Linked DNA regions of Caenorhabditis elegans. The protein of the gene in region 2 purifies or fractionates together with the protein of the main gene of each other region. This does not show direct contact. Each region holds a gene or a part of one and is shown on either strand. Other genes may lie near its edges. The genes, in order: R151.8 and F33H2.2.

Evidence for each region.
Region 1: the proteins of F33H2.2 (region 2) and R151.8 fractionate together in Caenorhabditis elegans (co-fractionation; one large-scale study listed by BioGRID). This does not show direct contact.

Annotation. Positions count from the first base shown.
Region 1 is NC_003281.10:7,225,179-7,232,261, forward strand, and holds R151.8 (Myb-like domain-containing protein), read right to left. Parts: upstream 4,610-7,083; 5' UTR 4,608-4,609; coding exon 4,293-4,607; intron 4,246-4,292; coding exon 4,116-4,245; intron 4,068-4,115; coding exon 3,941-4,067; intron 3,891-3,940; coding exon 3,814-3,890; intron 3,765-3,813; coding exon 3,381-3,764; intron 3,336-3,380; coding exon 3,214-3,335; intron 3,163-3,213; coding exon 2,996-3,162; intron 2,726-2,995; coding exon 2,191-2,725; intron 2,141-2,190; coding exon 2,040-2,140; intron 1,993-2,039; coding exon 1,791-1,992; 3' UTR 1,629-1,790; downstream 1-1,628. Other genes in the region: hsp-75 (Histidine kinase/HSP90-like ATPase domain-containing protein), read right to left, coding at 1-29, 76-294, 345-730, 784-1,011, 1,329-1,529; R151.10 (uncharacterized protein), read right to left, coding at 5,006-5,574, 5,621-5,753; Double-stranded RNA-specific adenosine deaminase adr-2, read right to left, coding at 5,995-6,168, 6,242-6,571, 6,616-6,849, 6,902-7,083.
Region 2 is NC_003279.8:15,020,639-15,028,924, reverse strand, and holds F33H2.2 (Protein FAM91A1), read right to left. Parts: upstream 5,758-8,286; 5' UTR 5,706-5,757; coding exon 5,555-5,705; intron 5,509-5,554; coding exon 5,357-5,508; intron 5,311-5,356; coding exon 5,058-5,310; intron 5,008-5,057; coding exon 4,754-5,007; intron 4,703-4,753; coding exon 4,530-4,702; intron 4,484-4,529; coding exon 4,327-4,483; intron 4,238-4,326; coding exon 3,852-4,237; intron 3,037-3,851; coding exon 2,311-3,036; intron 1,442-2,310; coding exon 1,243-1,441; 3' UTR 1,164-1,242; downstream 1-1,163. Other genes in the region: set-10 (MYND-type domain-containing protein), read left to right, coding at 1-25, 461-705, 967-1,153; dog-1 (Helicase ATP-binding domain-containing protein), read left to right, coding at 5,945-6,524, 6,572-6,698, 6,861-6,953, 6,999-7,101, 7,148-7,225, 7,372-7,666, 7,839-8,143.

The DNA.
Region 1 (7,083 bases), on a different chromosome or scaffold from region 2:
CGACAACTCCAATCACAAAACGAAGATAACTACAAATACTCGAGTTTCAGAGGTTTTAAATTTGAAAACTCTTACTTTGGAATCAACTCCTGGGCATCTGGCTTAATAAGAACTCGTCTTGCATAGAGTGAGAGTCCACACATCGTCTGTTGAGCCATGAACGTTAGCTGGTTGAATTGAGTCTGTGGAATGTAGATAACTGATCGAAGAGATACTGGAGTATCAGTTTGAAAATGAATTGTGTATTGTGGACGAGTATACATTTCTTGTTTTCCTTGCGTTTTCACGAGTTGTCTGGAAATATCAAATTTAATAATCTATAAAATAAAATTACATTAACTAACTTGAAGAATGTTTCATGCATTTCTTTGTTAACTTCTCTCGCCTGCATCGTCCAAATTGCATTCAAATTGTTCACTCTCTCTCCATTCACCAAAATTGGCGCAGAAACAAAATACGAATATTTATTGATAACTTCTTTGATTCTATCTTCTTCCGCATAGGTTGCCGAATCTCCAACTTTCAGTCTAATCTCAATTTTAGTTCCAGTTTGAAGCCCGGATGTTTCAGCAATTTCATACGAGTTGTCTCCATTCCATGTCCATTGAAGGCCATCGGCATCCGATGAACCAACTTTTCTAGTCGTGACAACAACGGAATCAGCAACCATAAAAGCTGAGTAGAATCCAACTCCGAATTGTCCAATAACTGCTTCAGCGTTTTCCTTGTTCTATAAATTAAAACAAATATGATTTTCATTGTTTTATCAGAATTTATCCTCACATTCTCAATGAAATCCTTCGATCCTGATTTTGCAATAGTTCCCAAAAACTTTACAAGATCCTCTCGATTCATTCCGATACCGGTATCCTCAAATGTGATTGTTCGTTTGTCTTTGTTAGTCGTGATTCGAATTTCACTTGGACCTTCTGCCACGTCACCTTTCAATTCTGCGTATCGTCTCTTCTCAAGAGCATCCGAAGCATTGGAAATGAGCTCGCGAACAAATACCTAAAACAAAAATTAAATACTTGTGGAATACATCAATTTCCTATATTTTTTGAGAATAAGGAAATATTCTGCCAATTTTTTTCGCGAAGTATACGGTATCCGGTCTCGACACGACAAACTTTGTTAAAGACAAAAAGGTGTGCGCCTTTAAAGAGTACTGTAATTTGAAATGTTCGTTTTTGCAGAATTTTTATCGCTTTTTTGAAGTTTTCGCACGATTTGTCAAAGTTCATGTCGAGACCGGGTACCGTACTTTTGACGCAAAATTCAAAAAATTTTGTGTCTGGGCTATATTGAACTTTTTAAAAAATATTTACCTCGCTGTGTGAATACAAGGATTTTGCGACAATGTCCATAAGATTCCGTGTCTCTGCTTGGAATTCATGTCTCTGTGGTTCAGAAGCCATCCATCTCCGTTGTGTTGGTACAGAAGGGGTGAAATGTGAAGCGGTGATGGGAGCTACGTATCTCATTGTTCGCATGATCCTGCCAGTTAACATCCGTACCGGGAGCGACATCTAATAAAATGATTTTTGGATCTGGAAAGGCAATAGGATGGAGATAATGATATTTGGAAAACAAACCAGTTCATAAAACAACTCTTGGCAGATATAAAACAGTATAAAAAAATTTTATGAAGCAAGAATCGAAATATTAAGGAATGCAAAAAGTAAAAACCTGAAATTCAATGGAAAATTGAGTGTAGTACAGAAAATGAATAATATGGAATATTTAAGAAAATACAATTCGTGAGATTCAATATCAGAAAGCAAAAAAAACTATTTTTTCTTCTTGGGCGTGGTCTTCTTCTTCTGAAAGTGCGATAGAATGTAATCCTGACTATCTTGCGATGAAGAAATCATATCGTGATATTTTTCGTGAACTTCATTAACTGAGAAATGCAGAGCCGGATTAGAAATTGTAGTCAGATCTCCGTGATTCGTAATATTCTGGTACATCATGTCGGTGAAGTCAATTGTTCTAAAAATCAGTTGTATTATTTGTTATCAAATTATTTCTTTACTTACGTGTTATTTCCTCCAGGAGTTTCCAAATGAGATGCATGTCGTGTCGATCCAGGTGACATTGATAGATCTCCACCGAAATATTGTTGCATAATGCTGTCTTTCTGAAAAATTAGAAGATTTTTTTACAATTCGATATTGTCTCATTGCATACCTTCGGAGTTGGATCTGGTGTACGTAGAGATGATAAAAATGCATCATTTCTTTTTCTTTGCAATTCAGGATCTGCACTTCGTTTTGTTGGAGAGAACACGACAGATGAGAAATCAGTTGGTCCTTGAGTACTTGTACTTGGTGAGTCAGAAGTTGCAGTGAGTTCTGATATTTTATGAGCATTTGATAGAAGTAGAGATTTCTTTTCCGAATATGTAGAGGTTCTTCTCGGAATTATTGTAGTTTTTGGTGCTGCGAACACTTGTTTCACCATAAGATCCTGAATCGCAGGAGCGGAACTTGACTCTCCGGGTGGCGGACGAATCAGTAGTTGAGGAGTAACTGTTGCAAGTACTGGATTCGTTGGTTTTCGTTTTGCTGGAGCAGTCTTCTTTCGAGTTGTCTTTTTAAGAAATGCGAGTTGACATGCAAAGTCTTCAGTTTCTTGTCGAACGATGTCGCTCACTGGATTGCCAGGAACATCCGAAGTAGTATCATCACATTTTTTCTTTTTCGAAGCTGACGAACTTGGTTCTCTGTAATGATATTTGGAACAACAGCTTTTTGGAACATCGAAAAATTTCGTTTTTTCGATATTTAGAAAAATATCTTAAATTTTTGTCATTTTTTTAGCAGCTATGTTTTTCATCAACATGATCAAAATTTGATGAAAAATTTAATTTTATTGTTAATTTACTAAATATTTTTTGATCTCTCGATGTTCCCAAAAATGTTAATTTTTTAATGACACTCTTGACTCGGATTGAAAATTGAAAATACTCGGATCGGAGGAAAAAGCGACTCACGAATCTGCCGTTGGTTTGTCTCTTTTTCTGGTCTTACTCGGCGCCAAACAATCTCCGTATCCTCTATTTAATAGATTAATCATTACTTTCCAGGGTTCAGATGCTTGAATAGGTTGGTTCTCGTTATGAACTTGATATCTTAATTGGATTGGATTTTTACGGCCACACTGAAAAATAGAACAAATAAAACTGATAATAAGAGTGTTAAATTAACTTACAACACAAAAAAGTTCCGCCACAATTGCATTTCGAACATTTTTAGAATTTATTCCTTCCGCAATAATTTCATCGGTTAACGTGAAAGGTCTTGGATAAGTTACAGTATGAGATGGTTTTGTTTCTGAAAAAACAATAAATGTTTTTGTCAACTGAATCATTAACTAACTGATATTAACATCCGTCGCCACTTTTATTCCAGTTACTTCTATTTTCTTAGCTTCCAGCTTCTCCTTACTCTCTTCTACATTCTTAATCAATTTGTTCATAGACAACGAGATGAACGGTGAATTTTCGGCCGATTGAACGCATAAACTCGCTATTTCACAAGAACTATCCGGCCATAAAGTGACTGAAATAGGGGTAGAATCTCCTGCCAATGACCATTTTTTGTGCAAAAACTCGAGAAGTTTTGTGATTCGATCGTTTGCATTGAGTTTAACACGAAGAAATGGATTCTGATTACGTTGTCTCATGAAAACATGGTCTCCATTGCTTGTTGGCTCGAGGTGAATGTAGAGATCATTTGGAACTTTATCACCTTTTTTGACGCCTTAAAACAATAATCTAAATAAAAACTAATTTCCAATCCATAAACTCACTGAAGTATCTGCAAAGTGCTGGGCAAGGTGGTGTTTTAATCGTTACCAATTTCCTACCAGCTCTGACGACAACAGTTCTGCAAACTTTTAGTAATAATTTTTCAAGTTCAAATTTTTTAAAACCAACCCTTCGAACACTAACTCCTTCAACTTCTCTACAATAACCTTCATATTAACAGTTTTACGCTTATATTCGCACGCGTTGATGAGAAGAAACAGTTCTCGAGCATCTCGTGGAATATTTGCAAAATCATCTGAATTTAACAAACATGTGAGATCAGATTAAAATATATTCTTATTACCATCTGTCATTGCCAATAATGATTTATATGCTTTTGCCGAATTGAAGAAGAACGTCTTCACGTGATCTTTGGTCTTTTCCATTTTTCGCTTCGCCATGAACTTTACAACACTGTCAAAATCTTTCCCGTGCTGAAACAATAATATAATCACAGAGATTGTTAATATATATGACTCACAAGCTTGATTCCATCATGAAAAGCGCAAACTTCATCAAAAGACCAAGCTCTTCTTTTTGGAAGATCTAGCGATTTTTGGTCAGAAAGTACAGAAGTGCACGTGGGTTCCGAACTTGACGGGTTCAATATTTCTCCATTTGTTGTAGTGTTGTCAGTTGATGTTTGAGGTTCTTTGTCTAGCCCGGACGTCAATGAAGTCGATGTAATCGGTGCAGGTGATTGAAGCGGTCTTTCCCTCAATACGGGAGGCCGCCCAAAGGCGATGCGTCGTCGAGAAGAACTGGCAGATGACGTTGATGGCTCATCTGATTGCATTTCTGAAACAAAAAATGAAGAAAATATAATCGAGAATTCTTTTCAAAATTAGCGGTTACCACCAGAGCGCATTTGTACACAGTTAAATTATGTCCAAATTCAAGATAGATTAAGGAACATAGCATAGCAACATATGCACAATACAGTTTGGATTGATGTAGAAAAATTTGAAAATCAGTTATAATATATTTGCCTTAACTTTGAAAGTCAAATAAGATAATAATTAGTGCCTCAAACACTATCGATCGATGAAAGAGTCAATGTGAAATAAACTGTTGCAAAAATATATTCAAAAAAAAACAACTAGAAATATAAAATGGTTATGTGAATATCACAAAGTACGATCGAATACAGATAGAAGTAAACCATCAGTTTTTTGAAAGAAAAATATGATATATTTAATATGGGGGCAATCCGAAGTCCTCTGGCTTAAACTGTTCCAAACTATTCAAAATCACAGTCACACGATTTTTGAATTCTGGGTCTGAATCGGGGTCGAAAATCGATCGTTCTGGAACCATCACACATTGCATTCCAGCATCGAGTGCCGACAAGACACCATTGTACGAATCTTCAAATACAAGAACTTTGTCCGCCGATTCTGGAACTTGTGGGAATCGTTTCATAGTCACCAAAAATGGATCTGGGTGTGGTTTTCCGTGTTTCACTTCAGGATCATCTCCCGATAAAACTTGCAACTTGATCATGTTCACCCAATCTTTGTGGTTATCCAATTTCGTTGGAAATGTGCGACTACACGATCCAGTACACAATGCAACTGGAACTCCGGTATGAAGAAGGTGACGAACCAGTTTCTCAGCTCCAGGCATCGCAGGACTCCTTTTGAACATTTCGATGAGAAGTTCATCGTATTGACGTGAATACTCTTCCGGTGTCACAAGATCGCCGATTTTCAGTTCGTTGATTAGCCATCGGATCGATTCATCATGGCGTTTTCCCATTTGCCCTGAAATTTATATTAAAATAAAAATATTTCTGATATTTCTTCTCACTTCTCTTCAAATCCATTGTGAAAACGTGTCCATATTTTCTCAAAAGCTCCATATTCGCTTCCGTGTATGCAGATTCTGTGTCGACGAGAAGACCGTCAAAATCGAAAATCACATGGGTCACTGATGCAGGCATCTGGAAATTTCTATAAAAACATATTTATTCCAGTTTTCGTTTCCTTAAATAATATTCAACTCCGAGATAAGTAACTCGAATCACTGAAAATTGTAAGTCCAAAAAATAAAAGATTAACAATTAATTAATGCAGAAATTAAGAGTTAACAGCTAAAATGGAATGAATACACGATGCTGCATGAGATTTTTAAAAGTGGAACCACATTGAACTTTTGATACAATAAAGGTAAAATTGCATTGATTAATTTATAGTAAACATTTGAAATTCTCGTGGCTTTCGTTGCCAAATTCCGAGATCCTTCTGTCGCAGCCAGGTAATGAACGACTTTTTTGCAGCAGCGTATTCTTGAGATCCAGCTTTGAGTTCTTCGTATGAGATTGGATAATCCACAGAAGTCTTTGTCAACGTGCAGATCTGAAATAGAAGGAATTGTTGAGTTTCACACTCAAAACATCAAGAAAATTATTTTTATTTTCCCCCAGCTTACAGTAATCATCAGTTCTGCCATATTTTTTTTACACAATCTGGATGGAGTCGTGATGTCAGCCCCGCTCATATCCTTATCATGAACCATTCCATCCGATGTTCGTACAACTTCTGTATTTCCATCAGCCAAGTTCCAATTCATCGAACTAATCGTGGATCGTGCTGCTGCAGAAGTTGATTGCTCAGTATCTTCCACTTGACACTCTCCGATTTCCACGTCTTGAACATGGAATGGAGCTGGAGGTTTGAAGGTGGCTGCTCTGCTGTAAACTGCTTTACGGAGACGATCTGCATTGTTCAACTCGGCAACGGCGATTGACGAGTAATAGATCTGAAAATCAAGATCTCATGTTATACTAATCAGGTTAAACTAACTGGATCGATGAAATGTGATAATATTGCTCCTTGGACACCCAGTACATTTGCTCGAAGCAATTTATCAGAGCAAGACATTGTCCTCATTCGTTCTCCCATCATGATTCCATCAAATGTTTGTGGAGCTTCAAACTCAGAAGCACCACCGAGCACTGTGCCCATACCTTTATCAATTTTGAATCGAAGACGAGAAGAATTTTGAAGGTCATCTGATGTTCCGGGTTTTAGCTTTTTCTGAAAATAATTCAAATGAAGAATTTACAAAAATTAATACTTGAAAAGTTACATCTATTCTCGCAACTCCACATGGTGCGGTGTTTATGAATAAATGGAAAGAAATTCCTGGCTTCAGCACCAATGCGTTCTTTCCTTTTGTAAAAATTGAATTGGGTGGCTCTGTAGAGAACTTTAGAACTTCGGAATACAAAAATCTCAGAAGGCCTCTTCTTGCGAGAATTTCAGCATGAC
Region 2 (8,286 bases):
ATTAGCGTTTTTGCCCTTTGAACAGGTTAGTTATTAGGATCGACTGTCGATTAAACGTTTTTGGTTAACTGCCGAAAAGTTTTGGAAAATTGCCAAAAAGCCTTTGACAACCTGCCAAAAAGTTTTGGAAACATGCCAAAAAGTTTTGGAAAACTGTAAAAAAGTTTTGGTAAATTGCCAAAAAGCCTTTGACAACCTGCCAAAAAGTTGTGGAAACCTGCCAAAAGTTTTGGTAAGTTGCCAAAAGTTTTGGTAAATTGCCAAAAAGTTTTGGAAACCTGCCAAAAGATTTGGTAAGTTGCGAAAATGTTTTCGTTAGTTGCCAAAAGTTTTGGTAAATGGCAAAAAAATTTCGAAAACGACAAAAAGTTTTGGTAAAATCCCAAAAACTTTTGGGTACCAGTTATGGTAAATTGAGTACTCCTTTTTTTTGAAAAACATGAATTTTTTCAAATTGCAGAGCATCCATTCAACATTAAATCTTTTGGATATTATTGAAAATCTCCATAAAACAAATCAATTCACAACAGTACAAGAATTGGCTTACCTTCAAAAACTACGTGCTGACTATCAAGACATCCTGGCGGAATGCAACGTGGCAATTTTGCAACTCGACGAGCAGATTGCTTATTGTAGCAGTTCACTGGAAAATGTGAATGACTTGGATTTGGACTTGATCGCTGGAAGAGGCAGTGAGCATTTTATGTAAGTTTATCTTAATATCCTAGCTCAGTTGATGTAGAAAAAGTATACGTAAATAACATTTAAGACGAATCTGATTCTAGTTTTCTGAAGAATTTTTTTTTCTAAAATCATGAAAATACGAACATTTTCCACAAAATTGAAACATTTTATTTCTGGAAAAAACCGAAATATTGAAAGATCTAATTTTTGAGTTTCTAGAAAATTTATAATTTCCGGAAACGGGAATAGATGAATTTAAAGCATTACTTAATATATTTTCAGAACTCGTCTTGGGATCGGCGCTCCAGAAGTGACCCGTCGTTTGTATATTGGATGTAAATGTATATCTCGTATTTCACCATCGAAAAGATCTGTAAAATTAGTAAAACTAATCAAACTTGCCATCGAATCAAGCATTATTAGCCATGGAACACATCATTCAATCACTAATTATTTGAGAAATCTTTGATAATGTTCTTGTAAAATCACATTTATTTTTAATCCTCTGATAAATAGTTTAATTTAATTAACATAAGCATACAATATATATATCACAATTCAAATAGTTCCATAAGAAATCAGCTGACTAGAATCAAAGAAAATGGCTCGAACGGGCGGCACGATTTGTGCGTTCCGCTGTTGATCGGTTCCTTCGACAAACAATTGTGATCCTTTGATGAGCCCGTTGTTCGCTGTGTCAATTAACTCGTTTATCATTCCAACCACTTGTTTGTTCGAGTTTTGGATGTTCGAGCGGCTGGAAATAAAACTAATTTACGAAAAAAATTAGGGCACGCACATTTTATTTTAAGTTCTCTAAAATATCTTGCCACGTGGACGGCTATAAAAAGTTTTGCACATGAACTTCCAGGTTCTTTAAGTGGTTTTTTGTATTACGAATATCGTATATTCTTTATCAGTGCTGCATACAGTGGAATTTATTGGATGCAGATGCCGCACTAATAGAAAATATACGGTAAATTCCCAATGCTCTGGTAAAACAAGTCCGTTTTGTTGCCGGAGAAAGTGTCACGTAATCGAAAATAGTTATTTTGTTGTTGAATATAGTGTATTAGTGACACTTGAACTATTTATTCAATTTATACCAGATTTCGTGGATAAATTTTTTTTTCGTAATCTGCTGCGCTTCTTAGTTTTTTTGCGAATAAAGTGAATAAATAGTTCAAGTAATCACTAATTTTTAAAAAAGTGTTGCTAATCTGACAAAAAGTGTTGGTAAATTGGCAAAAGTTTTGGTAAATTGGAAAAAGTTTTGGTAAATTGGAAAAAGTTTTGGTGAATATACAAAAAATTTTGGTAACCTGCCAAAGTGTTGGTAACCTGCCAGAAAGTGTTGGTAAATTGCCAAAAAGTTTTTATACTTACTTACTTAATTGGTTTTTACATGAACAATTTTCTTTTTCTTTTTTCTTGTGAAACACAATTTTTTACGCAATTAATTTGCCACGTTAAACTTTCGAAACTTCTAAAAAATTATTTTTGATATTTTAAGATTATGAAAAGTATTCTTGGCAAAGATAATACTCTTTTCAAAATTCAAAATAATTTTTTCGAATAATTTTTTGTTTTCGTACATTTTCATAGAGGCTGTTGAAAAAAACGAACTTCTGTTGTTCCAAAATGCCGCGCCCCAAAATCCTTTTGCAAATCGTCTCGTTAAGCACCGAATTGAACAACGGTACTCCAAAAACACAATCCAATAGTAGAAAATCGTCGAAAGAAGTGCCTGGCAGCAGTTTTTTGAGTAAACCACCATCTTTTGGTAATGAGACATCCTGCATAATATTGCTCTCCGCTTTTGTTCTTCCACTGATGTCTGAGCCTGATGTCGTGATAGATTTTCCAGATTTTTTAAGTAAAATTACATATCCTGCTGTAAAATCTAGTGATAGCTGCTCTCGGAGCTTTCTGATCGCTGGATGATTGCAGAATGCAGTTTCACACTCCAAATCTTCGAATGGAAATGGTACATGGATCATTTTATCACAATCTTCACTGTCAAGAGGTACTGATTGAACAAAAATCGATGAATAAACCAACATATCATTCAATGCAAAAAGTGCATTTTGAGCTGTCATAATATGTGGTTCATGCTTGGTACTTGATACGAGGAACCGATGATGTTGGAAGCTTTGTAGTACACGTGGAAGAGTTGTTAGACGAGTTCCGTGTGGAAGAAATACACTTGGAGGGCCACTAGAACACGCCGAATAGATTGAGAGACGGAACCACGGGGAGCAGGTTTCAGCGTTTGGTGGACCGATTAGAGGAACCGATTGAACGGGAATTGCACACGCTTCGATTGAAAGTGGAGCCATTGCAACTAGGATTCTGGAAAAGAAAACAATTTCGACGTTTTTTTATGTCGGGGGATTTTTGATCACGATTGATTTTATCAAAATTGGCAAAAAAAACGGAAAATCTGCAACTTTTTATTTGTTCATAAAAGACATTGTTTCTGAACTGTTCATTATAGAATGAAGAAAATGCAAGAGGGTATCTTGCATTTTCATCTAACCGTTTAATGAAAATAATTCGAATTTTAAATAATATAACGTTTTTTTAACCGTCAGCTTCTTTTTTCGGTTCGAGGATTTTGATTTATTTATTTATTTTCATCAATCTCTTAAATTTAAAGACAAAAAGTTTTGGCAACCTGCCAAAAAGTTTTGGAAAATTGCCATAAAATTTTGGATAATTGCCGAAAAGTTTTGAAAAATTGCCAAAAAGTTTTGGAAAATTGCCAAAAAGTTTGAAAATCTACCAAAACGTTTTGGAAAATTGCCAAAAAGTTCTGGAAAATTGCCGAAAAGTTTCGGAAAATAGCCAAAAAGTTTTGAAAATCTGCCAAAAAGGTTTGGAAAATTGCAGAAAAATTTTTGAAAATTTCCGAAAAGTTTTGAAACTCTGCCAACAAAATTTGGAAACCTGCCAAAAAGTTTTTGTAAAATGCAAATTGAACTTTAAAAAAATTAAAAGCGTATGACGAATTTTGAAATTAAATACAGATAATTGCGAATTAGATTTTTTTTTGAAATTGTAATTACCAATGGTTTTTAAGAAAACTCAATTTCACCCAAGAATCGAGGGCTGAGGTTGTGTGTGAAATTTTTCGGTTACACTTTTTTCTCTCTATAATAACTCACCCATAACTTTTCTGCAAAACCCTCTGTCTGCTTTTTTCATCAAGTGTATACAAACTTTCTCCTCTAATCAGATCAGCTTCACGTTCTTGTCTTAAACTCTTCAATGAATCCAGTAGAGCAGTTGCATGCATTGAGTATCGCTGTGCATCTCCTTCCGCAAACTGATTTACAGACTCTAGTTGCTCCAAAAATTCCTTCATTTGCTCGTCAGCAAGTTTTCCCACTTCGAAAAGTGCTACTGCATGGCCTTTCAGCGAAGCCGACAGATTTCCCATCATCAGAAATGCGGTAAGTGTTGAATCGAAGATGAATGCAGCTCTATTAACAGTTCCAGAAGATCCAGATAGGTCGGAAGCCGTTTGGGATGTTGAAAGGGATTGGAATGACTGAAAATCAAAGTTTCAGATTAATACTTTTCTACAGAAATGGTTAGATTTTGAGATTTTCTCATTGTATTAACCGGTCTATTACTAACTTCCACAGAATTATTTAATGAAGGATTTGGCGAAGAAGCTCGAAGAGCTGAATCCTCCGATACCGGCGACAACGCGTCGTCTGTCTCATCGTCATCGCCACGTAGCAGTGTTTTAGTCAACTCGTTGAGCTCGTCCGATGTGCTAGTGATCAAACTTCTGTAACTTAGGATTTAAGAATTTTTCAAACATTTCTCCCACTCACGACATAGGAGAAATCGGTGACATTGGTGTAGTTACAGTGGAATTTGACGTCCAGGAGGTGTGGATTGTCAGGTTCTCTCCGCCGGTAACACGTTTTCTGGCGAATCCTAGCCTGCAGAACACGGAAATCGCGTTTTTAACGAGCTGAAGATCGATGTGTAGGATTTGCGACATCTAAAATGTGGAAAACTTTGTGTTTAATATGAGAAAATTAGTCTATTAAACCTCCAAAACAGTTGTTTGATCGTCAATTGCTACGAAAATTTTATAGAGGAGAGTCTCGAAATAGTCTCCTAGCACCCGATTCATCACAAATCCATCTAGAGGTGCCACATAGATATAATCGTTATCGTAAACAGGAACATCGAAATATATCAGTCCTCGATCATACAATGACGTCACAACAGAATATTTTAGAAGCCCCGCCGGAATTGCCACGTTGGTGTCGAGGAGGCGATCTATCACTTGTTTCTCTTCTTCTAAATAATTTAAATTTTGTTTTAAAAAGATTTACTAAAACAAATCGCACCATTCAGTGTTTTCACGTCACTTTCTAGAATCGAACCGACATTCGTTCTCCACCACGACTCGACAATCATCTTTGTTGGTTTTTGTGGCAAAAGCTCCCTCGCCGACTTGCTACGACGTAGAAATTTCCGATTTGAACGAGTTTGGTTCATTAGCTCAATGTATTGATTTCTTCCTATCCCAAGTAATCGCACTGCGTCGGCGGCTGTGAAGTTTGGAAGAGAATCGTACGACTTTTCGGTGTTTAGCATCTCCTGAAAATTAAATCCTGCTGAAAAATCAACTATTTTTCAGACATACGGTAAGAATATTCGCATAATAACTGAATGGGGAGAGCCGCATCTCGGTGACGGTGATGTCTGATAAGTGATAAGGGTACAGCATCAAGTGTGACTCGGAAAATCGTAGAAGCTGCTCATAGTACGCTTCCTCGCTCTTTTTCATGTGCCGTACTGCAATGAAATGTTCGAAATCAAGATTCAAAGTTGAAAAACTTACTCAAATTCCCCTTATATCGAAGCTGATTTTGAATCGAGTACTCCAAAACTCTCTTTTCGTATTCTTTCGACGAATTTCCCAGTATAACCTTGATATCTGGAGATAGATTCGCCCAGGGAATATTATCGCGAATACAGTCGTCGATTTCCATGCCTCTTCAGAGATTTCGAGTGGAAAATATTTTAAAATTCTACTGAATTTGAGCAAAAAAGATATGCGTGGCGGAGCTCTGCAGATCTGCAAATAAGGTAATGTGTGCAAACACCGTGACGACACATTGCGTACGCGGTGAAAATTTGTTTTTTGGTTCCAAATAAAATAATTTGAATTTAATGTTTTTCAAAGTTTTCGTTATTGCGATTTATAGAAAAATACCATTTGCAGGTAATTATGTCCTCAAGCGATGCATTTTGGAGAATGTTCGCAAACAAAAACAAAGGAAAATCGAATACCCGATCGGCATTTCAAGTTGTGAAAGAGGAGCAGCCGTCCACATCAACAGAACCCGATGATAAAAAGCCGTTACACCATGAAATTGCCGGGGAGATGATTAAAAATCCGGCAAAAGGAAAACGAAAGCGGGTTCAGATCAAAAACGACGAGTATGAGCAGCTCATGATGCTCGGTGTACCGGTACGCGTGCCACGTGGATTGAGCCTCTACTCGACTCAAAAACTAATGATCGTGAGAATTCTGACGGCGCTGAAAAATAGTCAAAATGTGCTTGGCGAGTCGCCGACGGGAAGTGGCAAAACTATGGCTCTGCTGGCATCTACGTGTGCATGGCTCAAGCAGTATATCGATGAGAAGCGAGAATCAAAGGAAAAATGTGAAATCCATGGATTTTCAGGAAAAACACAGGTGGTGTTCACTAACGATATTGGAATACCGCTAGAATCTAAAGTATATGAAGAGCCACCGGAAGAAGAGGAATTCATTGAGCCTGTGCCAGTGAAAAACGATAAACTTTGTAGGATTTTATTTTCAGTGGAGTTTATCATAAATGTTTTTATTTAGTCGAGGCACAATGGGAGCACGATTTCACGCCTCATACACCAGGAGAAACACCGCCCGTCACATTGAAAGAAGAGCTGGAGCCGGTAAAAAAACCGGAGCCCGTTGAGACGAAATGCACGTGTCTTCCGTAAGATTTGATATATATATATATATAATTTGCTTTTTTGCAAAAAATAGCGAAAAAAAAAAATAAATAGATCTTCCAATACAGATACAGCTTCCAAAATATTTGGTTCGTTGCGAGACCAGGAAACATAACAAACAATATTCTGTAATTCTAATTTTTCAGTCGCGTCCGAATCTACTACGGCACCCGAACCCACAAGCAAATTGCTCAAGTCGTTAAAGAGTTCTCCCGTCTTCCATACGCAAAAATTCTGAAGTAAATTCAAATTTCCTAGTGTAAATCTTCTCATTTTGTATTCAGACACACAATTCTCGCAAGCAGAGAACAATCTTGCATCAATCCGGCCGCTCGTAAACACGCAGACATCTCACAATACTGTAAAGAAGTGAACAGTGCACATTCGGTATGAATTCGATTTTTTTTTAATTATTAAAACAAAAAAATTTCAGATTGGTTGTTCATTCAAAAGTGCTATGAAACCACGATTTGAGAAAGCTTTACCGTTAAGGGATCATTTAGAGCGAAATGTTCGTTTTTTTTTCATTTATTAAAAAAACTGAATTTGGAAACTAAAGATTACATCAAAAATTTTATTCTAAATTTTAAAAAAAACCTAACCATATTGAAAATTATAAAAGTAGCTTCAGGAAACGGGCAATATCAATTTTTGCAGGGAACAGTGGTATTCGATATGGAAAAAATTGTCGAAACGTTGGCCATATCATATCCTCAGCTGTGTCCCTACTTCAGCACAAACCGAATTCTCACCCAAGACGCTGACATCATTTTCTGTCCATTTTCGTATCTGGTGGACCCATTGATTCGAAATTCGTCAGATGTTCAGATAAGAAACTCGATTGTCATTTTGGATGAAGCTCATAACATCGAAGACACGTGCAGAGAAGCGGCAAGCTTCTCGTTCACCGAGAAAGAGCTCGATGATTCGATATTGTCGCTGAGAATTAAAAGTTTGTGAGATTTAACTGGAAAAAAAGAGAATGTAACATAATAGCTATAATGAATTAACAAATTTTGTCTCGTCGGAGTTTCTTCGATAGTTTAGAATTTTGAGTGAAACATACAAAAAAACAAACTAAACTGCCGAAATGTGAGGAAATTTTCCTAAAATTCAAATTACAGGAAAAGCAGTTGACACGGAATTGGATAAAACCGGCATCGAAGAGAAGCTTCTCCACATTCCAGATCGAGAAGTGCATCTAAAAGAATTCCGTGGACATCTTCTCTACCTTGAACACCTGATCCTTGAGATGCTTCGATGGATCCGACAAGTGTCGACGGAGGCGAAAACGCCGGCTAGAGGTGGTCAGGATGGTGTGAAGACATGCACAATATCGTCTGCAAATCTTTTTACATCATTGACCGATCCAGAAAATGGTGTCGATCTGTTCACACCACCACTGACACCCAAACATGCAGCAGTGGCGGTACGTAATTGGTATCAGGGCGGTGTGGCTGATGGCGTATCAAATTTTTAATTGGATTTCGGTATTAGAGAATAGAAAAAAAACGATTAAAAATATAAATAACTAAAACTTCCGTTATTCCACGCAAAAAAAATTCGAGAAAT